Mytilus edulis: one gene and its partners. The protein of the gene in region 1 purifies or fractionates together with the protein of each later gene. This does not show direct contact. Links are inferred from orthologs where the notes say so. Each region holds a gene or a part of one and is shown in the gene's direction. Other genes may lie near its edges.

The links. Proteins that work in one complex are often made in the same cells at the same time.
Region 2: the proteins of protein phosphatase 1K, mitochondrial-like (region 1) and 2-oxoisovalerate dehydrogenase subunit alpha, mitochondrial-like purify together in Homo sapiens (affinity purification with mass spectrometry; 4 studies listed by BioGRID and IntAct, counting the BioPlex papers as one, with this or other methods). This does not show direct contact. The link is inferred for Mytilus edulis from reciprocal best matches to the Homo sapiens genes PPM1K and BCKDHA.
Region 3: the proteins of protein phosphatase 1K, mitochondrial-like (region 1) and lipoamide acyltransferase component of branched-chain alpha-keto acid dehydrogenase complex, mitochondrial-like purify together in Homo sapiens (affinity purification with mass spectrometry; 4 studies listed by BioGRID and IntAct, counting the BioPlex papers as one, with this or other methods). This does not show direct contact. The link is inferred for Mytilus edulis from reciprocal best matches to the Homo sapiens genes PPM1K and DBT.

Annotation. Positions count from the first base shown.
Region 1 is NC_092357.1:7,377,490-7,384,993, forward strand, and holds the start of protein phosphatase 1K, mitochondrial-like, read left to right. Parts: upstream 1-4,267; 5' UTR 4,268-4,417; intron 4,418-6,628; 5' UTR 6,629-6,796; coding exon 6,797-7,146; intron 7,147-7,504. UniProt on the Homo sapiens protein: Serine/threonine-protein phosphatase component of macronutrients metabolism.
Region 2 is NC_092346.1:74,984,679-74,992,623, reverse strand, and holds the start of 2-oxoisovalerate dehydrogenase subunit alpha, mitochondrial-like, read left to right. Parts: upstream 1-4,754; 5' UTR 4,755-4,843; coding exon 4,844-4,939; intron 4,940-7,676; exon of another isoform or gene 7,677-7,732; coding exon of another isoform or gene 7,733-7,753; intron 7,754-7,945. UniProt on the Homo sapiens protein: Together with BCKDHB forms the heterotetrameric E1 subunit of the mitochondrial branched-chain alpha-ketoacid dehydrogenase (BCKD) complex.
Region 3 is NC_092344.1:17,374,847-17,383,116, reverse strand, and holds the start of lipoamide acyltransferase component of branched-chain alpha-keto acid dehydrogenase complex, mitochondrial-like, read left to right. Parts: upstream 1-5,079; 5' UTR 5,080-5,151; coding exon 5,152-5,208; intron 5,209-7,425; coding exon 7,426-7,546; intron 7,547-7,889; coding exon 7,890-7,962; intron 7,963-8,270. Other genes in the region: mitochondrial substrate carrier family protein ucpB-like, read left to right, coding at 37-202, 1,303-1,484. UniProt on the Homo sapiens protein: The branched-chain alpha-keto dehydrogenase complex catalyzes the overall conversion of alpha-keto acids to acyl-CoA and CO(2).

The DNA of each region.
Region 1 (7,504 bases):
TATTTTGTTTACCAGAATTAAACTCAAGACATACCATTTTCAGCAAGTATTGTTTATTTAAGTTTCGGTGAGCATCGTTGAACGTATGCCCTTCAGGAGCATCTGAGATCAACCCCCGTTTTCGGTGGAGTTCATGTTTCTCGGTCTTTACCTACTATGATGTGTTCTCTCTTCTGTCTGTTGGTCATTGTCTTTTTAGCTAACCTGGCCCGAAGGGCCAAATGAGCTTTTCTCGTCACTTTGCGTCCGGCGTCCGTCGTCGTTAACTTTTACAAAATCTTCTCCTCTGAAACTAAAGCATTTAGAGCAAATCTAACGCAATAAAATTGTTCATCAAGTGAAGATTTATCTGCCCTATAATTTTCAGATGAATTGGACAGCCCGTTGTTGGGTTGCTGCCCCTGGTTTGGTAATTTTAATGAAATTTTGCCGTTTTTGGTTATTAACTTAACTACTATTATAGATAGAGATAAACTGTAAACAGCAATGATGTTCAGCAAAGTAAAATCTACAAATAAGTCAAATGACCAAAATGGTCAGTTAACCCCTTAAGGAGTTATTGCCCTTTAAAGTAATTTTTTACCAATTTTTGTAATATTTTGTAATCTTTTACAAAAATCTTCTCCTCTGAAACTACTGGGCCAAATTTAACCAAACTTGGCAACAATCATCATTGGAGTGTCTAGTTAAAAAATGTGTTTGTTGACCCGGCCAACCAACCAAGATGGTCGCCATGGCTAAAAATAGAACATAGGGGTAAAATGTAGATTTTGGCTTATAACTCTGAAACCTACGCATTTAGAGCAAATCTGACGAGGGGTTAAATTGTTTATCAAGTCAATTGTTTTACAAAATATTTTCCTCTGTAACTAAAGGGCAAAGTTTATTATAGATAGAGAAAATTGTAAGTTACAAGAATGTTCAGTAAAGTAAGATCTACAAACACATCACTATCATCAAAACACCATTTTGTCATGAATCCATCGGAATCCTTTGTTTAATACAAGTATGCACATAGACCAAGGTGAGCGACATAGGCTCTTTAGAGTCTCTAGTTTAGTCATGGAGTTGTCAGTTTATTTTCTTGGTATCTCCCACCTCCCTATTTTCAAAGAAAACTGAGTAAATGGGTCTTTAAAAGCTCATATTTTCTCATTTCATCAATGAAATAGTATATGAACGAGGGATTATTATAAAGTATTATTAACCAACTAAGTGCATTACTGCCAAAAGTGACTGTTTATTAAAAATTACATATTTTCTGTAATGGCCCTGTTTTTCTGTAATGGCCCTGTATTAATGCCCAGTTTGTCTGTATTAAGCCCTGTTTGGGTTTTTGGATAAAGTTAATAAAACTAAGTTGTAAAGAGTATAATACCTTTTTGTATTTTATTTAATTTAGTAACCAGCAACCAACATTAAAGAACCATATAAGAGGATCACTGTTCATCCGGTTTTTTAACACATATCTCTTTCAACTTAATATCTTGGATATTTGGTATATTTAAAGCTTTATAATGGTGAAGTACAAATTATTTTGTTCAAACTAAACTGTCATTAAAAGAGTAAGACGGTACATCAAGTTAGCAGCAACACATACACTTTTGTTCAGTTGGTTAATAAATGTATTAATAAATGGGTGTTTTTATAATGGCCCTGTTATATGTCCTCGGTCAGTAATAATGGCCTCGGATGTTTGTAATAGCCCTTGGCTTTGCCTCGGGCCATTACAGACTTCCTCGACCATTATTACAGACCTTGGACATATAACAGGGCCATTATAAAAACACCCATTCATTAATACCATAATATAAACATTAATTTCCTTTAATTTCCTTTTCAATATTATAACTTTATAATTAGAAGGGGAGAAATAAAATCTATAGTTTGAAATTATCAATGTTGCCCAGCATAATTATGATTGAATACTGTGGGAGTTTCTCGCTACGTTGAAGACCTGTTGGTGACCTTCTGCTGTTGTTTTTTATTTGGTCGGGTTGTTGTCTCTTTGACACATTCCCCATTTCCATTCTCAATTTTATTTGTTAGATGTATTTCTACTTGTTTGAACCTGATGCGGAATTACAGCATTGTTAAACTTGATTTTATAGTGTGTTTTTTTTTTATTGTATACTGTAACACCATTGTTCCAGGTTAAGCGGTGGTTGGGTTTATGCTAACATCTTTAAACCCGCCACATTCTGTATGTGGCTGACCCAGGTCACCAAGGAGCCTGTAATTTGGTGGTTGTCGTTTGTTACTGTGCTATATATTTGTTTAGTTTATTATTTTGTACACAATTTAGGCAGTTACTTTTCTCGTTTAGGATCGTTTGATATTTTTCATTTATAGGCCTTTTAATTTTAAACATATTCATTTATAGTGGATTGGGAAACAAGTTTTGTAATTTATATTAATCCCTTTCCACTTTGAGGTTGCGAGTGCTGTCTTGTAGCGGCGTTAGCCTTCTCTTAATTGTAGCTGACTGTGAGATATAATCTTTGTTTATTATTGAAGGCCGTAGGTTGACCTATAGGTGTTACTTTCTGTGTCACTTGGTCTCTTGTGTAGAGTTGTTGCATTGACATGCATACCATATCTTCTTTTAAAACACATCTAGGGTATGTGTCTATTTGACAGCAATTCAACGACACAAAAACGAACTCGAGTCAATTTAAGTGTTCGGCAATATACCTAGTCGAAAGATTATTATTCTATCGTGAACTTATTCACTTACTATTCAGTACATCATTCTATAGTAATTCCGACTTAAACTACTACAATATAGACTGTGATTTTTAAAGACCAATGTCTTATAATTGAAATAAAAGCAGGCCAACTGGGACACCACTTTCACGTAGAGTGCAACTAATCGTATTGCACAATACAAAAAGAATTGTGAAATGTATATCCAAATTTGTATATTGCCTATTTTACATATTCGAAGTCCGTGTTTTTTTCGGTGAAAGGAGTCATGAATTTGAAACTTGACATACATTTCTGTATCACTAATATATATAGCCTTAATTTCATATTTGTATTCAAATAAACTGATCGAAAGTTTACTCGCACACAAGAACACTTTGAATGGTTTGAAATTTATCCTTGGCTATGTGGTGGTCAGTATATGTTTGTTTGCAGTGATCTAATATAGTGGGAGTAGATTTGAAATATAACATCTGCGTTTCATATAGAAGTAACGGAAATTGTTGATAAGATATATTGCTTTCATGTTTTACTCTATGTGCCTCATGAAGTAGACAACTTAATGTGTGCTGTTTGGTCGGGTTGTTGTCTTTTGACATATTTCCCATTTCCATTCTAAATTTTAATCATATATTGTGTTTCTTTTCAAATGCAATGAAAACTACAGTTATGAAAACATCAGATATCTGTCAAATCTATTTGTCTCTCCGTCAAACAGCGTAAGCTTGTTAATCTGATTTTCATACACGGCTAATAATTTCCCTTTTTACATTGCTTTTATAGATGGTGAAACAGATATCATATAACCGAATAGTATCGAATGTGAAAAAGAAAATATGATCTAAAAATGTAATAGAAATGTTTTGTTTTTCTTAATTCATACATATATATATATATACTGGTTGTGTAATTTTTGATTTTATAAAAATGGATAATTACCACGTGAATCACTGTTTACATTTACTCGGAAGAAATTGTTCCGAGTATTCCTTATTTTGATTGGTCAATTTGTTACCTGGATACAGGACGCTCATATATATTTCTTTGTTTCGGGATTCGCGGTACATTTGAAATTTTTCATTGAAATTATTTACCCTCCCACCCGCCGCATACAACTGTGTTAGTTATGAATTTTAATGTATTTTATGTACTTATTTATAAGATGTGCTTGTGTATACTGCGGCTAGCTCATGTGTTTATTCGAGCTGTTTGGATGAATATATTTATCATTTCTAATGGCTAGACGCTATATTTGCTCTTGAACATTAACTTTACATGTTATATGTGACTGTCAGTGGTATAGTCTATAGAAAACTGTACCCCCCCCCCCCCCCCCCCCCCCCCAAACAAAAAACTATCTTTGCTCGGTCCTAATGCATGTTCAGTTTTGGCTGATTATGACTTAAAAAGTACTCTCTTAATGTCATAAACCAAAGACATTTGAATACAAGCAGGAACATATATTAAAGTTAGATATACTGTATCCAGATACAAGTGATAAGATTTTATTGTCTTTTAATTCCGTCTGATATTCCGAAACTTATTATCTGTTCCGTGATTGTTTTGTTTTTATTTTTTTAATATTTCGAATCAAAGTCTAAAAAGTGTTTTGAATAAATGTAAACAGGATCAAAATTTAGTCTTTTTGCGCAATGTTTTGTCGTTTATTTGGATCAATACAGTGAGAAGATTAGACAACATTGTTTAAAAGGTAACAAATGAAAATGTTTGCTGATTTCAAAGCTAATGTAATGTTATCAAACATTAGGGGCTGCATCGTCAGTTCAGACTTCCAAATGGATCCCTCAACCGGTCTAAACGGGTCTCCAAAAAGAAAAATCAAGCTAAATTAGCCAATCTGGTAGTTTGGTGAACCGGTGTACAGTGTTCCCTTTCCTGATCTGGAGGAAGCTGAGTTTATTCCAGATTTTCTGGCATGTCAAAGGTTTTCTGACAATCCGTTTGGGTGTTTGGGAATTTGTGTCCTGATTTAGCTACTCTATTATATAGATAAACCCCATTCAACTATATTTTGCACCGAAACCTTGCCACTAATGCATACATGACATACATGTACCTGCCTACATATGAAACCTTCAAAGATAGAGATCTCATTCCAATATGACAGTAGAGGGGTAGATTAAGCAATCTGCACGAATTACATTTTCCAGTTAAATATATGACCTGTTTACTTATTCATCTACACTGCACTAGTAATAGTTAATAAATATTCTTTTGCTGTATGTATGTATGTTCCGTAGCTCCCTCCTTTAGTAGGAGCACCACCATGGGTTATGGTGTAAAAAGGAAGACATTTAACACACTGTATCGGTACAGATTTAATGTGAGCATTTGCCTATCCAGTCTCCCAGCCTGGCCGTGACGGGTCTTACAGCCAGAAAGTTAACCTTCCCAAAACAATAAGTACAATGTAATAAAGCATACGAACACACCCACTCACCTGACTCGCTCATCCTCAAAAATATAAAAAAAACATAATATAAAAAAAACATTATATACAAAATAAGGGATAAGGTCACCCCGGATGCCGCACAAATGCCTAGACAACGAACAGGAAACCGGAGAGGACATACTTGGAATCCAAACCGATACCGCTAAATGCCCAGCTGTATTCCTGGTAGAGGAAAGGCTGTACATTGACCTATAATGAATTACTTTTATAAATTCTGATGGAGAGTTGTTTCATTGGCACTCACACCACCAGAGGCGGATTTAGGGGGGTCCATGCCCCCCCCCCCCTTTTTGGGAAAAAATTTGGTTGCTTATATAGGGAATCACAGAAGCCTGACTGGAGCTGTCTCCATTGTCTTGTTTAATATATATATTTTTGTTATTATCCTGATTATATGAAATGTTTGTATTTTAAATGAAATCCTGTTTTGTTTTAATCGCTAGAACACAATGTATGTTTATTTTAAGCAGTTCTGTTCTCATGTTTCTCAACTGCTTAAATAATAAATGTACAAACACAATATGCTGCATGTTTTGATCAACTTTATCATGTTTATTATTGAAATCAATTTTAGATTTGTATATTTTGTCTTGTCATGCTTGTAGTCATAACTAAATTTGAATGATTGTGCCCTCATAAGACTTTATTTTAACTAATCACTTTGCTCTTATAATATGATAAGAGCAAAGTGATTATTTAAAATAATAAAAAATTATAGTGGTATTTTATCAGGTTTATTATTCAATGATCATCATGATCATGATCATAAATTTACTCTGTTAACCCTTTCCTTCATGGATTTTTTTTTCTCACATACTTGATTCGCATAGGATTTTTTCAATAAAAAAAAATCATCAGCTTTAAAGTTATAATGCATTATGAAAAACGAATATTTCTTCAATGAAATTCAAGTCAGATATTCTCATGAATATCCTTTTCATATTGGATACAAACTTTTTTAAGTCTGATGCAGACATTTTGTAATCAAAGCGTTTCAACTGAGGTACTACACAGGCGTCAAAAGGCATCATTATGGAGTAAAGGGGGTGGCATCAAAAAGCGTCATTATGGAGGAAAGGGTTAAAAAAAATTCACAAGTTAATGAACTTGAAGTCACTCAACTTTATAGCAGTCATGGCAGGGAGATGTATGAAATATTTGAAAAAGTTATTTACTTTATGTTACCATGCATGTATAGAATAAATAATATTAACCTAAAGTCAATAACAAAGGTTTATTTTTTAGATCAGGAATGTCTTTGAAGTGTTTAAAAATCAGTGAAGAAAAACTATTTAACAGGAGTTATGGCTCTTAGCTCATTGTAGTTTGAAAATCAAAATAAATATATAGAAAATTCCATTGTATTAAAGTTGTCTCAAGGTAAATAAATGTGTATCTCATCAGTGCAATTGATTACTGTTCTTTTATTTTTAAAATTATATTTTTCAGGTTCTTTATGTTAATTGTACATGATCAGAAGTTGGGATGAAAAGATTGAAACTTAAGCAGGTTCAACTGTAATATTTAACTACTAAGGGGGATAATTCTATACATGTAGGTGCCAGTTTAAGAGGGATATAATATCTAGAACAAAGGTATCAGATATTGAAAACTACAATGCTGTCATCATGCTGTAGATATTTCCCAAGTATTTGTCAGTGCTCAAGAACCATTTGTAGTATAAAACAGTTCTCTGGTGAAAGGGACAACAGGTTCTTAAAACATCAAGAACTTAACTTGCAACACACAGTAAAGAGGCACTATGGAACTCCTCTTACTGACCCAGAAAACAAAGGAGGTCAACAAAGGGGAGTGAATTTTGACACGTTGGGGTCATGGAATAATAGATTAGATATGCCAATTATGATGAACGAGAGTATTAAAAGAGGAAATCTGATTCCAGAAATTCCATTTGAACATGTTGGCATCGATTCACTTCTTGGACGTAGAAAAGTAAATGAAGACAGGTACATATTTTACTTAAGATTTGGATTCATCCTATTTGACAAAACCAATAATGAATTTTCATTTATATTCTATTTTTTTGGTTTTGCCAAAGTTTAGGTCTGCATACAAACTAAAATAATTACTTATAGTAAATTTGCAGTTTATTGATCGCTTAATTTTCTTTGTTATCTATACCCACTAAATCCAATAAAAATTTGTATTCAAATAATAAAGAATATTTCAAGTTCTATGAGTGAGAGTCCTGATCAAGACATGTAAGATAAACTTAACTATTTATTTATTTTGACAGATATTTTATAGAGAAGATATCTCCGACATTGTTGTGTTTATACATGTATGTTTAAGTAATTCTTCAAC
Region 2 (7,945 bases), on another chromosome or scaffold:
TAGCATCTCTGTATAATAATGCATTATAAAAAGCAGAGCAAACGGCCAGAAAAAAAAAAAAAATTGGCTATGAGACAGCAGTGGATGGAAACGAGACACACTGCAGATGCATTCTAGATCCACACACCAGGAATTTTTATAAGTCCTAAAGTTGTCAAAAGATATCATATCATTTGGAAGGGAATTTTTTCACTTGTGTTGCTAAAAAACTAAAAGATCTTATACCATAACTTGATGTTCTTGGTCTAGGTACCCCAGCAGTGTTCCCATACTTGATATTATATATGTTGTGTTTTATAACAACTAGTTCTTGAATGGATAAAGAACAGTTTTTAATTGTAATATCAAAGTTATCCCGAATTCAAATGAGCGCATTTAGGCTACGAGCTTTTAGTGATGTAACTGAGGTTTGAAATCTGCAAGTTAGAGTGTTTCGTACGAGTTCCCGTGGTCTTGATAAATATAACGAAGAGCTCGTTCTAGTATTTTCGTCTATGCCGGTTCTTGTATTTTGTTCCACACAAAAATGCATAGTCAAAATTTGACATCATGAACAATTGGGAAAAAATGTAAGTCCAAGTAGTTTTACCTCATCCTCACACGATATAGAAATACTGTTCAAACCAAACACATTTTTTTTATTATGTAGATAGGTATAGGAAGATGTGGTATGAGTGCCAATGAGACAACTCTCCATCCAAGTAACAATTTATAAAAGTAAACCATGTTTTTTACAAGAGAGATAGCTTGAGATTTCTCTGGGTAGCCTGCATTTTGTTTGAAGAAAACCACAATATTAAATTATTGCCGTCTTCCTCAAGAACATAAATGACATCTTGTACGGAATTTCCCGACTGACTTTGACAAAGTATTGGCCTCAGAATAATCATATAAAGAACAATTCTTAATAAAAATTTACTATTTAATATTAACTTCAGGAAAAAAATGTACGGTGACACCATCTTTGTTTTGAAATTCTGAAATAATTTTCTAAAATCTATCTTCTCGTATTATATTCTGCAATTCTTTCATTTAGTTTATCTTCTAGTCACAAACTGATGGTTGTTCCTGTATAATCCGCACACAATCATGTTGTCATTTATTCACAATCTGTAGCTTGAGAAAAAACTCGGTGACCTATCATTTGGATTATATTTTTGAATCACAATATATACTTCGCCTTGGCAAAGTATGAACACATTCTATCATCTTTAATTCATTATCCCATACCACCTTAAATATGTCATGCATACCACTTAAAATTTTGATTTTCTTTCACCCACTGATTTTTTGTTGTTGTGAAATTACCATACAACATATCAAGTGAGTTTTTTTTTAAAGACCATACTATTTTAGTTTCATTTGTAGTCAGTCATAAGGGAGGCAGTCAAAAGCTTTTCACAATCCACCAGGATAGCTGCAAGGTATTTATTTTGGTATAGGGCTAATTTCCATTCTTCAATCACTCTTAATAAAATTGACCGACATCAAATGCTTGATATAAAAGCTGCAAAAAATAGATTGAAAATATTATCAAAGTACTGTCGTACTTATTGTACTTCAGTGACATAAAAAAAAAAAGAGTAGAAATGGCCGGTAACACATAAGTTTTACCGGTCTATAAAAACCTTTTTCTACCGTATTTTTTTGTGAATAGGTACAACTTGAGCTTCCTTATTATGACCAGGGACTGTTTAAAAGGATGGTCGAAAAATACCAAAGGGACAGTCAAACTCATAGATCGAAAACAAACTGACAACGGCATGAATAAAAAAGAAAAAGACAAACAGACAAGACACAACATAGAAAAATAAAGCCTAAGCAACATGAACCCCACCAAAAACCTGGTAGTGATCTCAGGTACTACGGAAGGGTAGGCAGATACAAGCAGATCATGCAGTCCAAATGTGACACCTGTCGCGTTGCACATGTTATTACAAATCCGGTAAATAGTCTAATTCGGTTAGTCACATTCGTGAAAAGGGAAGGAGATTGTACGGGTATATTCCATAAAATATATTTTTGAAGTTTCATTCTTTACCGTTTCAATTTTTGATAAGTTCTTAACGTATTTTCGATGATTTAACTATTTGTCATCATTTCAAAGACCATTTTTCTATGATCATGCTTTTTATGGAAAAAGTAATTTGCCGTTTTCCAAGACATGTGAATAATTAAATTTGACAGTAAATTAATTTTTCGAAGCAAATCCTTGCAGGTTACTTCATATTAGATATATTGTCTTGTAAGACTCTGGCTTTGACTTTAAAATATGCCGAGTCAGAATCCTATGATGAGATGATTTTAGAGACTGAATACAAACGAGAAGCATACATAATCAGCGAATATAGCTACTCTACTCAGAATCATCGAAGACTGGAAAACGGCACTTGATCAAAATAAGTTTATTGGCTCAATTCTAATGGATCTATCTAAGGCTTTCGATTGTCTCCCTCACGATCTTCTACTGCTTAAGCTTGAGGCATATGGTCTTTCGACTTCCTCATTAAAACTCATTAAAAATTACTTATCTAACAGGAAACAATGTGTTCGAGTTGGCTCTAGTCTGAGCAATTGGCAAAACATATATAAAGGAGTACCACAAGGTTCTATTCTAGGTCCTATACTGTTTAACATCTTCATTAATGACATATTTCACTTCACCACAAACAGTTCATTTTACAATTATGCTGATGACAACACATTATCTTATGCAAATAGAGATATAAACACCGTTATCTCCATACTTGAAAAAGACAGTTTGGCTCTGATAGAATGGTTTTCTTCCAATCAAATGAAGGCAAACCCTGAAAAATTTCAAGCTTTGGCAATTGGCAAAACAACAATGGGCAAAAACATTACATTTGATCTAGCAGGTAACAAAATAAAATGTGAAAAAGAGGTCAAACTATTAGGCATCACCATTGACTTTGAACTAAATTTCAACACGCATATATCAAACATCTGCAAAAAAGCATCCAGACAACTAAATGTTTTAAAAAGACTTGGCAAATACTTAAACAAACTTGGAAAACTAACAATATATCACTCCTTTATTATGTCAAACTTTAATTTCTGCTCATTGTCCTGGCATTTCTGCAGCGAGGCCAACACTACAAAAATTGAAAAAGTACAAGAAAGAGCACTTCGCTTCATTTACCAGGATCACAATAGCACATATGAAGACTTACTTTTAAAATCAAAAATGCCATCACTTAAAGTAAGACGCCTAAGAACCATGGCAATAGAGGTCTTTAGAACAGTCAATCATGAAAACCCAATGTACCTCCATGATCTTATAAAGATTAAAAAAACAAAATATTCTTTCAGATACCAAAATTTAGCTGAAATACCTGACGTAAGAACAACAAGGTATGGCTTGAAATCTTTCAGATATTCTGCTGCCAAACTATGGAATGAGTTGCCAAACCACTTTAGAACTGAAACATCTTTTACCCAATTCAAGAGTCTAATAAACTCATGGAATGGCAACTCATGCCATTGCAATGCATGTGCTTAGTTTTATTTATTTTATGTTACAGCTTGAAAATAATAGTGCTGCTTTTTGTGAATGTTTGCTTAGCTTTTTATAATTTATGAATGCTGTGCTTTATTTTTTATGTTTGCTTTTAGTGCTTATTCTTATGCATGTATAGAATATAGTATTTAAATAGTGTAGCCTAAATGTGCATGAAATGTATGTTCTATGTCTTTTATGTTTTAATATTTGTATTGTGTATGTTTGTTATGTAAATGTATGCATTTGTCGGTTATAAAAGCTCAGAGAGCTTATGTTTATTTGTTATGTAACATGCCGACTATAAATAAAGCTTTGAATATTAAGTGCCTTACAGTGATCTACATTAGTTTCATAATATGTATAACGTGACGGTACCCAAATTGCACCTATTTTGACAGTTTTTTCACCTACGTTTTTTTATGATAAAGACAAAAATTTCCATTCTGTGTTTATTTTGTAACCGTATCCTTCTTTATTATAGAAGTACATCAATTTCATTTTTAATCCATATGGAATCAAAGAAAAATTGGTCTAAACTGACCTCCAAACCATCAATGATTCTGAAATGAGGAGTACCCAAATTGCATCCATGCTTAAATTCGCACTGTCAAAATTCTAATAACAGAGCTTTTGTTTAATTTCTTCAAATATTTTGAACAATTGGATATTAGTCCATGCTTACTCTTTATTTTTTTTTCAAATGGATACTTGTAACATATTGTATTTGATCATTTTAAAAAGATGACGTTTTGATGACGTCGCATGGCGACGTTTCAGTACAAATTTTTAGTTTTTTAGTAAACACTTCACCTGTTGATAAATACTGTGAACGTTTTGTGCATATCTAAATAGTTTTACCTATGTTGAAAGATGTGCATAGTATCAGATCATAAAAATACAAATTGTTTACGGTCTCTAGGAAATCTTGTTAGATTATTTTTACTATTTTGGCTTAATAGGTGCAATTTGGGTACTCGGTGCAATTTGGGTACCGTTACGTTAAAACTTTTATATTGATTTTGGAACATTCAAATACGATAAGATAAGATAAGGTACGAAATAAAATTCAAATTCAAATTTAAAATATCTATTGAGATTGATTAATTGTATTATATGTCTCTGATTTGCATAAGGTCGGAGTGACGTCCATTCTATATATTCAACACAGATCATATTTCAATGATTAAGATTTTTAAAATAACAGATTACGCCGTTTGTCTGAAACTAGTAATCCCTTTTCGACGTTCTCTAGAGTTTTCCATTAAACAATTGTTTACTATGTAGTTGCTTTGAAGGACAAAATATTTTATAGAAGAAAACGAAATGGCTTTGCTTAGACGTCTTCTGTCTCCCAGAATAACACAGATAATAGGCTTTCAAGCTAAGCAACTGTCAACGTCTTCCAAATGCCAAAATGTGGTTCGTGTTACTTTGTTTTTTATTGGGTTCTTTTTGTATAATTTTGTATTTTTGTATTTTTTTTTTTGTATTTTTTTTTTATATATTGACATTTCTCCGCACAAACTACTAAGATCTACTAATGCCTCATGTTTGTCTTCTCAAAGTGAAGATACACTTACCGGGTGCACTTGAGTCATTTTCAACATAGTATTCATTGAATAATAATACATTGCTACTATTTTGTTGAGTGTATTTTCTGAGTTATATTATTTTATTTTATTATTTTTATAACACTTGTTACATATCTTTACTGTGTGTGTATTGCATATGTTATTGTTTATAAAAATATTGTCTGTATCATATGCCCTCCTGGGGCCCTAATTTGGTAAATAAAAATATTCTATTCTATTCTATTCTGTACATTAGTCGTCATGCAGTGCATTTACACAGGAATCCGGGTCCGTTCGCCCAAATTCACTTTTACGATCGCACCCTGTGAAAGTGTGAATAATTAATAGTGTCATGTTGATAGTTCGCATACCTGCCAACTGACATTATTTGTGGGGTATTTCCCCCATGGAGGCTCCAAAATGGAAATTTTGAAAGAGCAATTTTGTCCACAATTTTTAGGTACGGAAAGTGATTTTTTTAAAATCAACTGATCTAAGAAAACTTAACCTCATTTTAAAGGCATTGTGAAGACATTTTCAAAACACTTTTATCAATACACATAATAACAACGGAGAAATAGCAAATTTTCAAAATGGAAATTTTTTACTATTCTGGAAAAACTGTTTCCTCTCTTTAAAAAATAATAAAATATATTTTTTTTTAATCATTTGGGTTATAGTTTTGTTTATATTGCTTCTTTTACATCTTGTTAGTCAATTTTAATCCTCCATATTAAGTTTTTTGGTTAAAATAAAAGCATAAAGCATGAAAATGTCAACCACTCTCATGAAATTCTATCGTTCAAAGTCACATAACATGACGATAACTTTATATATTCCTTTTTTCAGAGCATCAGTTGGTATATTGAAAATGTAAAGTAAAACTTATAAACATTTGAATGTAAAGAAACAAAATATAAATATGAATATTACTCTTTATATATACAAATGTATATGTTTAATTGTGTGTGTGTATAAAAAAGAAGATGTGGTATGATTGCCAATGAGACAACTCTCCACAAGAGACCAAATGACACAGAAATTAATAACTATAGGTCACCGTACGGCCTTCAACAATGAGCAAAGCCCATACTGCAAAGTCAGCTATAAAAGGCTCCGAAATGACAAATGTAAAACAATTCAAACGAGAAAACTAACGGCTTAATTAATGTCCAAAAAATGAACGAAAAACAAATATTTAACACATCAACAAACGACAACCACTGAATTACAGGCTCCTGACTTTGGACAGGCACATACATACAGAATGTGGTGGGGTTCAACATGTTAGCGCATGCCCAATCCTTCCCCTGACCTGTCACAGTACAACATAAGAACGAACTATAAAAATCAGTTGTACCATGAGAGACAAGAATTGTTTTGAAATATGTCATGATTGTCATCTGTCTTTGTATAGTCATGATAGTTTTAGAATGTTCCCTTTTCATTAACATTCAATTTAATGAAATATTCTTATTCTTATATATAGCATGTATAGTAAATGCTTATGAATAAAAATAAACAACAAGCTTTTAACAATTATTCTACAGGACTAAAATACCTGTTGCACTGAAAAACAATGAAAATAATATAACATTATTTTTTATTCGAGAAATTTCAAACAAAATAATTATGTCAGATCACTGTAAATACTTGTACATGTATGTATAAAAGTAAAGTAAATTCATATCTGTATATCAGTTACAATATTAATACAGTGAAATCTGTAAACCAATCTCATTCAGGACTGAAGTTCAAAATGCATTGAATGTGAATAGCATTCGAAGTGAACTGCCACTACTGCATGGATTCCTATGTATGTTTTTAGTTGAACATGTTGAAAATACATATATTGATTGTTTTAAACCACATTATTCAGTATCCTTACTATCTCATGTGCAATGACAAGTGGTTGAACTATCTTTAAATTGCAATAAACTGGCTGTATAATGCAAAAAAAAACAACCTATCACCGCTGATTTCCAATCAAAACTAAACCAAAAGTTGTCCATGCAAGGGAAATAACTCTGTATACACAAAAAGGAGGCTTATTTATAAAAAATAATTTTGATATGAACACAGCTATCTAGATATATTTATTGGACCCAATTATTTAATTGATATATTAAACTTAATAAAAAAATACATTTTATGGCTGTATAAAGTTCCCTTGTATTTTTTTTAAACGAATGTAACTTTCAAACCCTTGTTTGTACCTCAAATATTTCATGTATTCCCGAAAATTATAATATACTAAATCATGTATATTCATATAATATCTATCAAAAGCAATCAGAACCTTCTGAGACTTAACAAGTTAATAGAAGGCTGTAATCGGAGGTCGCCCAAAGATTTTATATTTACACACATCTGGGAACAATTATTTAGGGTAATTTGGAGTTATCTCCCATTGGTTTGCCATACCTACAATTTTAAACAAAACAATAAAATGAACAATACACCTAATCGCTATTTATTCCATTCCGGATAAGTTTTAAAATTAAAAAGTTTAAAAATTTAAAATCCCGGTCGCTTGACCTTTTCAGGCATACAATATACATGTAATCACTTTTCCATTGTGACGTCAGATATTTTGTTTTATGACGTCAAAATTTTACAGGAACCTGTGTGATATCTTCTAATGGCGGACAAATCAGATAAGGTGTATGGCTATAAGTTTGTAAAAGTATAAACAACCAATAAACAGCATTTAAATATATTTGAAGGCCCCCTTAAAGGTTTTGAAAAACTATGAGAGAAATCTTGCACGTTAAACCCTCATGGGATTTTTGAAAAGTTGGTAGGTATGAGTTCGTCTCAAAGACTTGTAAACGAAATGCAGAAGATTCCAATT
Region 3 (8,270 bases), on another chromosome or scaffold:
TGCTTTTCATGTTTTTTTCTCTCTCTCCATATATAGATCCCAAGCTATGACCATACTAAACACACGATACTAAACTTGAAATGGATGGACGAAGGGCCACTATTACATATTATATCATCTATGGTAGCTGGTTTCATGGCTGCACTTACAACCTCGCCAGTAGATGTCGTCAAAACCAGAATCATGAACCAGAAATATGAACGTAAGAAGCACTATTTACTTTCCGAGTTGTTTGATTATCTATAGTATATTTTATAATTCCCATGACACTTCATTACATGGCATTAAAGTATAAATTTACGTACCGGGGTACTTGTAATATAGTATGTATACATACTTCCGTTGTTCCAAATATAAGAGTTACATGTCCATAAGGCATTTTTTCTTTATGTTTGTCGGTTATTTATTCTTTATATCTATATATATATATATATGTTGTGATGATGTTTAGTTTATTGTCACAAACAATTATAAATATTGCACAATGTGTTAAAGTATTCCTTAAAAACTTAATGATTTCTTTTGTTTCAAAATTGATTTACCGAACATGGATGTTTAACACTGAATGCAAAAACTTTATTTAGATTCGGTGTTGTTAGTAAGCTCTAGAGAGAATTTAACTGGATACATACAAACATATGCAACAGCATAGAAAAATATTCATGCAATAAAACCTAAAATTAAGGAATAACAGTACTGTAGTTGAAGAGTTGCCACTGTCAATTGCAGATTTGACGGTCGCGAATGCAGTTTTACTGGCGACGCGTAGCGGAGACAGTGAAAACGGAGATTTGCGACCGTCAAGTCAAAATTGACGGTGGCAACTCTTCAACTACAGTACTGTTATTCCGATTCTGATGCATTACAATAAGAAAAGAACAGTAAGCACTGCACAAACATGGCAAAGCAAGTTATACATTTTATGATTATTCCCGTTTCCGCGTAATCATTTGATAGCTAGTCCGAGATTACTCTGACGTCCATCGGCTGTTTTGCCAAACAAACAGTCCGAGATAACAAACAGTGTGAGATTACTCTGACTTCCAACGGCTGTTTTGCCAGACAAGCTCCGAGATTACACTAACGTACAACGGCTGTTTTGCCAGACAAGCTGCCCCAGCCTGTCTGTCAAAACAGCCATTGGACGTAAGAGTAATCTCGGACTATGGATAACATGATCATTGTGATATCACAAATAAATAAATAAGTAACAAAATAAAATGGGTATTCCACACATTATCTATATTAAAAAGAAAGTTGTGTGGTCAATGTGGAATTTTAGGTATTTGTTATGTTTTTCAGATCACCACGAGAAGGTTTATAAGGGGACGTTTGATTGTTTGATGAAGATTGTCAAAACAGAAGGATTTTTAGGACTTTATAAAGGGTTTATACCGAACTGGATGAGAATTGGTCCTCATACTGTTATATCATTCTTTATATTTGAACAGTTAAGACGATCTGTTGGGATGGATCCTGTTTGATGTAAAAAAGGACTAGGATTGTTTTGTAATTTAGTGTTTTTAAAACGATTCTCAGGGAATACATACACGGATTAGAAGACGGATCAAAATAAGCACTTTGTTGCTTGACGGATTAGTATAATCACGAGTTGCTTGTGTCTCAGTGAATCCTTATTGTGAATGTGTTTATAATTATACTTGTTTATGATTATTCATCATGAAATATTGTTTACAACAACACATATACGTGTAATCCAGACATTTTTATTCATATACATATAAATGGTGTTTTTTATACAGTTATATTTTAAGAAATTTATTTATGTACGGAATGTGTATAACAGAGAGAGCAGGTGCAAGCTGATATTTAAGTTTTGTATGTGCAATAAAAAGTAATTATAGTTTGGCTCTTGTACTTTTAAACCTTTACAAGAATGCAGACGGAGGAGAAGGTTCAATGACTTATAAGAAATAGAACGAACCAAAAATTGTATTTGGAACATTGTTGTTGTCATGGTGAAGTTCGGGGATCTTTTTTAATTTTTTAAAGTAAATATATTTAGAAAATCAATAACCTCGATGGGGAGGGGATGGTACTAAGCTCTTTGGTTCTATATGGAAAAGATTTCCTTCTGGTTTTTTTTTTCAAATTGTTTCTTATGCTGTGTCTAAAGGTCTCTCTAGATATGTTTGCAAATTGGACAACTATCGATTAAAAGATCAAGGGACAAGGATGTATAAAGTGCAATTCACCGCACCACACAATGAAAAACAAGTGAAATTGATGCCATCAACTACAATTCACTGTACAGCACAATGATATATACAATGGACACGGATGCCATCAACTTCAATTCACCTTACAACACAATGAAAAACAAGAGACAAGGATGTAATCAACTACAATTCACTGTACAACACAATGAAAAACAAGGGACAAGGATGTAATCAACTACAATTCACCGTAAAACACTATACAGAACAAGGGACAATGATGTCATTAACTATACAATTCACCGTACAACACTATGCAAAACAAGGGACAATGATGTCATCAACTACCGTGAATTCACCGTACAACACTGTACAAAACAAGGGACAATGATGTCATCAACTACAATTCACCGTACAACACTATACAAAACAAGGGACAATGATGTCATCAACTACTATTCACGTACAACACTATACAAAACAAGGGACAAAGATGTAATCAACTACAATTCATCGTACAACACAATGAAAAACAAGGGACAAGGATGTAATCAGTTACTATTCACCGTACAACACTATACAAAACAAGGGACAATTGAGAGTTATCTCGTTGGCACTCACACCACATCTTCCTATATCTATTTAAAAATGTGAAAAAAACTATTTTCAGTCCTGAAATGGTTTGGAAGGCTGTTCCATAAAGTAGCAGCAGCAAATTTGAAAGTTTTTTTTTACCGTAACGGGTTGGCTTTACCTACGGAATTTCCAGAATATTTACATACCTGAAATAAAATTGAGAATGGAAATGTGTCAAAGAGACAACAACCCGATCATATCTGTCTGCTATGCAGACAACAGCCGTCGTCACCAATGGGTATTCAATGCAGCGAGAAAAGAATACTTTTAAATTTCTTTGACACTCACCAAATTGTGTAAGCACACAGGAGCCATATTGTTTATAATCTTAAAAGTTTCTAGAGCCATTGTTCTTATCCGTCTGATCTGCACGGAGGGCACCTTAGCCTCAGTAAGTTAGAAGACCTCATAGGAGCTGGTAAAATCCTCATATACGAAACGAAGTGCTCTTTCCTGCACCTTTTCTAGTTTTTTGGAATTTCTCTCAGTGTAAAAATGCCATACCAAAGGGAAAAAATCAAATTACTTAGAATAAAAGTATGAAAAATAATAAGTTTACTAAGTCTAACCAAAACTAAGCCTTAACGTTTAAAAACATTTAATTGCCTTGATGCCCTTCTACAGATTGAGCTGACATGAACATCAAAATTTAACTGATGGTCAATTTCAATGCCTAATAATTTTACTGTTTTTCACATGTATGTAAGGTTCGAAATTTGAATATGTATAGATGGTCAAAGGTCAAAGGTCTTTTTGCCAACAGCCAAAACTTGAAACTTGTCGGGATTTGCTTGCATTTTAATTACCCGGAACCACTCAATAAGTATTTTGACTCAGATTCCAAAGTTGAAATTAATAAATCAGAATCTGGAGTACAGATTACCATCTGCATAGTGATGTAAACTACCATTTTTAACAAAAAGAAAAATATAATTTATAAATATGTTAAACAACAATAGCCCTAGTAAAGAACCCTGTGACACGCCTTTATGGATATTAGCACAACCACTCAGAACAGTGTTGACTTTAATTTGCTGTTTACGATTATCAATTACCAACCCAGGCTTCATATGTGGCTTCGTATGCAGATCATATACACACACGGAAATTTATAAAAATATTTTTTAAAGCCCGACTCTTTTTTCCAAAATCATATATGATCAAATAATTGGAGAATTTTACACTCAAAAACTGAAAAAATATTACGCGATATCGGATACAAATTTATTGCTAAAGGAAAGCTATAGGAAGGGATATTTAAATTCACAAGTCAAAAGCAAATAACAATACCATGACAAAAAAAGAAAGGACGAAATCAAAAGACAAACAAAAGTACACACATCTCAGCATAAAAAATAAAGACATAACACTGAATCAAAAACCTTGATCTATATTAGAAATACCCCTTTAAAAATTCAATTCCTTCTTGTAATCAAATTAAAATTGCCAGAACAATCTCATCATGACGGCATTGAGATACAAACTATGTCTCTGATTTTATTGGGTGAAGGAAAGACAAATATAAACTACGTGTGTTGTTTTGGGGAGCAGTACATCTAAGGAATCAACAATTCGACGTCCAGGTGGTGGAGGGCAAGTGTTATGTTTGCGTTTTTCAATTTCTCTAAATATTCCGAGCCCCACTTTGACGGGAAAAAATAATGTGGTGAAGCATGCAGATGACAACACATTTGAACATGAATTCAGTATTCTGAATGCAAATCAGAAACCCCCATACTTCATAGTATAACATTTTGAAAGAAAAAAAATCTGATTGATTGCGTTGAAAACTAAATAAAATTGTTTATACTTTGCGCAAGAAGAAAAATCTGACTAAGAAGAACAAATGTAACCCACTCCCCCCTTTTATTTTTAGTTAAATGGTTGTTCCCTAATGGGAAATGAATCTGATAGCCAATATCAAGGACGTGAGTTGGTTAAGTCCAAAAAGTTGTTTCGTATTTGCAAGAGCCCATTAAATAAAGAAAATTAATAAATAAATTGAATTATTTTTAATGGGAAAAAGTTGGGGTGTGTGTCCCAGTCAACCAATCACAAAACACTATTTCAACACACAGAATAGTAGTTTATCTTAATCCGTGTAAATTCTACGATTAGACAGCAATTGAAGTTGAAATATATTACCTATTAAAAAAAGAAGATAATCAATATTGCTCGGGGGCAGCAATAATCATGTATAGATTTTTTAGAATCTAAAGGAAAAGGATTTGCAGATACTGTTATCGGGATCGATAAAAATTTTAGTTTTATCTCAACCTGGGTTCCTGCCGATGGCATCCTTCTGTCTGTTTGCAAACATCTAAAGAACCAGTTTAAGATGGCATCGACGGCCTTGCGAAGGTTGAAATGGGAAAAGTTTAGGTTTCTTAATAATGTACGAATTTATCAATCCCTAAAAACAATTGCAGTCAATCAAAATTATCGGTAGATGTTAAATATTGTAAAATAATATGTTGTTATTATTGCAATGACTAAATACACACACTTTAAAAGACGGTTATTCGATCCAGGATCCATGTAAATTCAGTTTGTGTTTCGTGTGTGCTTCATTCACTTCTTTTTTTTAAGAAGGGAATCTAGTTTATCCAAAATAATAGTTCGTAGATTTTCTAAATAATTACAGACTGATTGCTACACTCCCCCTAGTTTTTAGTGAAATTAAAGCTTGAACTAAACACTGGAAATTATGCTTGAGGTAACAAGAGGTTTCGGCCTTGGTCTGTTCACAGGAGTTTGAAATACTAGCAATAAAGGTGTATAAATATGCCAAACTCGACCAGTGTTCTAACTACAGAGTTTGAACAGGGCGCAGCGCATGCCCTTTTTTATTGACGCAATGCCTTTTTTCTGTCGTTCCTCTGGCGCCCTTCCGTTTTTATCACAGAAAATTGGCATTTTCTGCCTTTAAAATATCGGTAAAATCGTAATTGTTTCATGAACAAATGATATAAATTTACGCGTAAATTGCCTTTTTTTCAATGACATTCATGCGCAAAATTGCCCTTTTTCTGACTAGCACCCTGCCCTTTTCAAATCTTGGCTAGAACACTGTCGACGATCTGTATCACAGCAGAGTTTCTCTTAAAGACAGAATTTAGTAATAAAATTGAGAAAGGAAATGGGGAATGTATCAAAGCGACAACAACCTGACCATAGAGAAGACTTCCGTAGGCCACCAATGGTTCTTCAATGTAGCAAGAAACTCCCGCACCCGTAGGTGTCCTAAGACTATAACAACTTTAGCATTGAGAATTTTCTTAGACAAAAACAAATGATAAAAAGATATACATGTACATGTACTGTGGTACAGGTAGTAATCATGGTTATTGTACACATACATGTGAACCTCCCGACGGGAGTACAATAATCCCGTTTTCAGTGGTCTCCTCCCGTCCTCCCGTTTAGGAGAAAAAACTCCCGTGTATGAAATATTTCATGAATGAAAATTTTCATCCGCCGTATTTGATAAATTCTTACTACCGTACGGGTGCAATTGACACCTGTGTTAAATTTTACCTGTAAATCAAAGAAGATGTATAATTATATGGCTTCACTTGACAGCTTGGGTGTCAAACCTACTGGTAATCAACGATGTTTACCTCTGCTAACTGCCGTTGTTTAATAAAAACTTTGTGTATTCGAAATAATTGAAATACATTTTTATTACTTCCCTTTGAATTATCCTGTTTTAAGTTATTTTGCTTTTAAAAACGTAAAATGTAAAAAGACTATAAATGAATGATATTTTAATCAAATACTCATAAAAGGATGGTATTTAAATGAATTTAAATGTGTTGGGACTTAAAAAAAAAGGCTGATTAAAAATCCTAGTTAGTTTTATGCCTATTAGAACCTTGGGATCAGAATTGTTTATGTCATTATATATAAAATTTAATGAATTAGCTAAAGATAAAAAAAAAAACTTACACTGTTTGAGCAAGGATTTGTATAATAAGAAGGATTGGAATCTCGTGGACTTTTGCATAGACTGTAGTATAATGTCTTACTATACAAATCCTTGGTTTGAGTCAAAGTTTTCTAGAAATTATATGACTTTCATAATGCTTTTAAAAAAACCATGCAGTACTATTGTTAGTGTATAGCATATTTCTTTCTTATTTGTCTATACAGTTACCAATGATGAGGAGATGGAAATATAAATCTATACAGATAAGATAAATAAATTAAAATATAATGATTTATTTGCAAGCAGTGAACAATCAATTATCAAAAACAAAACAAATTCTTCTTAATATTTTATTTTCATTCAAATAGAAAGGCAATAAAGGTACTATAAACATATTACAATTTGATGGAAATTTGAAGAAAAAACACAATTTCTACATCATACAGTTACATTTACGACAAAATTTATGTCGATAAAAAACCTCCTGATCTGAGTCCTAATCTCCTGACCAAAATTTCCAAATCTCCTGATCTGAGTTTCACAGTCCATCACATGTATGTCGGTACATGTACTGTGGTACAGGTAGTAATCATGGTTATTGTACATTGTTATAAGGAACAGTTCAGAAAAAAACTGATTAATATAAATGTATGCACTGAAAAATTTCTTTACATTATTTTGCAGTTATCTAAAAGAAAGAACAATTGCAATCAACATCATACAAGGACAATTTGTCAAAGAAAAACAAATCAGTATATTTGTCACAGTCCGCTAGTATGCTGTAGGACTTTTCATTCGTCTCCAGGTAGGTACAAAATGTACATGGACATACCATACATTGAAATAAGTTCCTTAACCTAAGTTACCTTATGAAAAATAATAACATCTTTTTTTTTTGTTCTTTAGAAGAAATTAAATATTTTCTAAAGTCTTCTCTTATTTATTTATTATTATTACCAAATGAACACATTCAAATTACTTGGCCTCTTCATTTGACAACTGGCAATTGCTGCTTTTGTCTAAAATTGAGAATGAAAACAGGGAGCATGTCAAAGAGACAACAACCCAATTAATGAGCCGAGAATAGTATTTCAAGAAACTTCTGCTTATCAATGTCATTACAGCTTCTAATTATTTATATTTTACAGTTTGTCATGAGTTAGTACAGTTTAAACTTGCTGATATAGGTGAAGGCATAAGGGAAGTTCAGCTGAAAGAATGGTATGTTATCAAACTTATCAAATAGTGGAACTTTATATCTATGATATGTGTTTAGTTTTTATTCAACTACAAAGTTAAATATTGGGATATAAGGATTGTTCATCCATGGATCTGTTCAGGCATGTCAATCTTTTCAGGTTTGAGATTTATGACAACTAGCTGCCTTTTGATTTAGATGATTTTCAGTATAGTCATTCCCATGAATTACTTTAAAAACATGTCATACTACAATTTCATGCCTCACCTATGACAGTTGAGGGGATTATGTTTTCTGGTCTTTTCGACAAGTTTTCGTCTGTTCGTTTGTT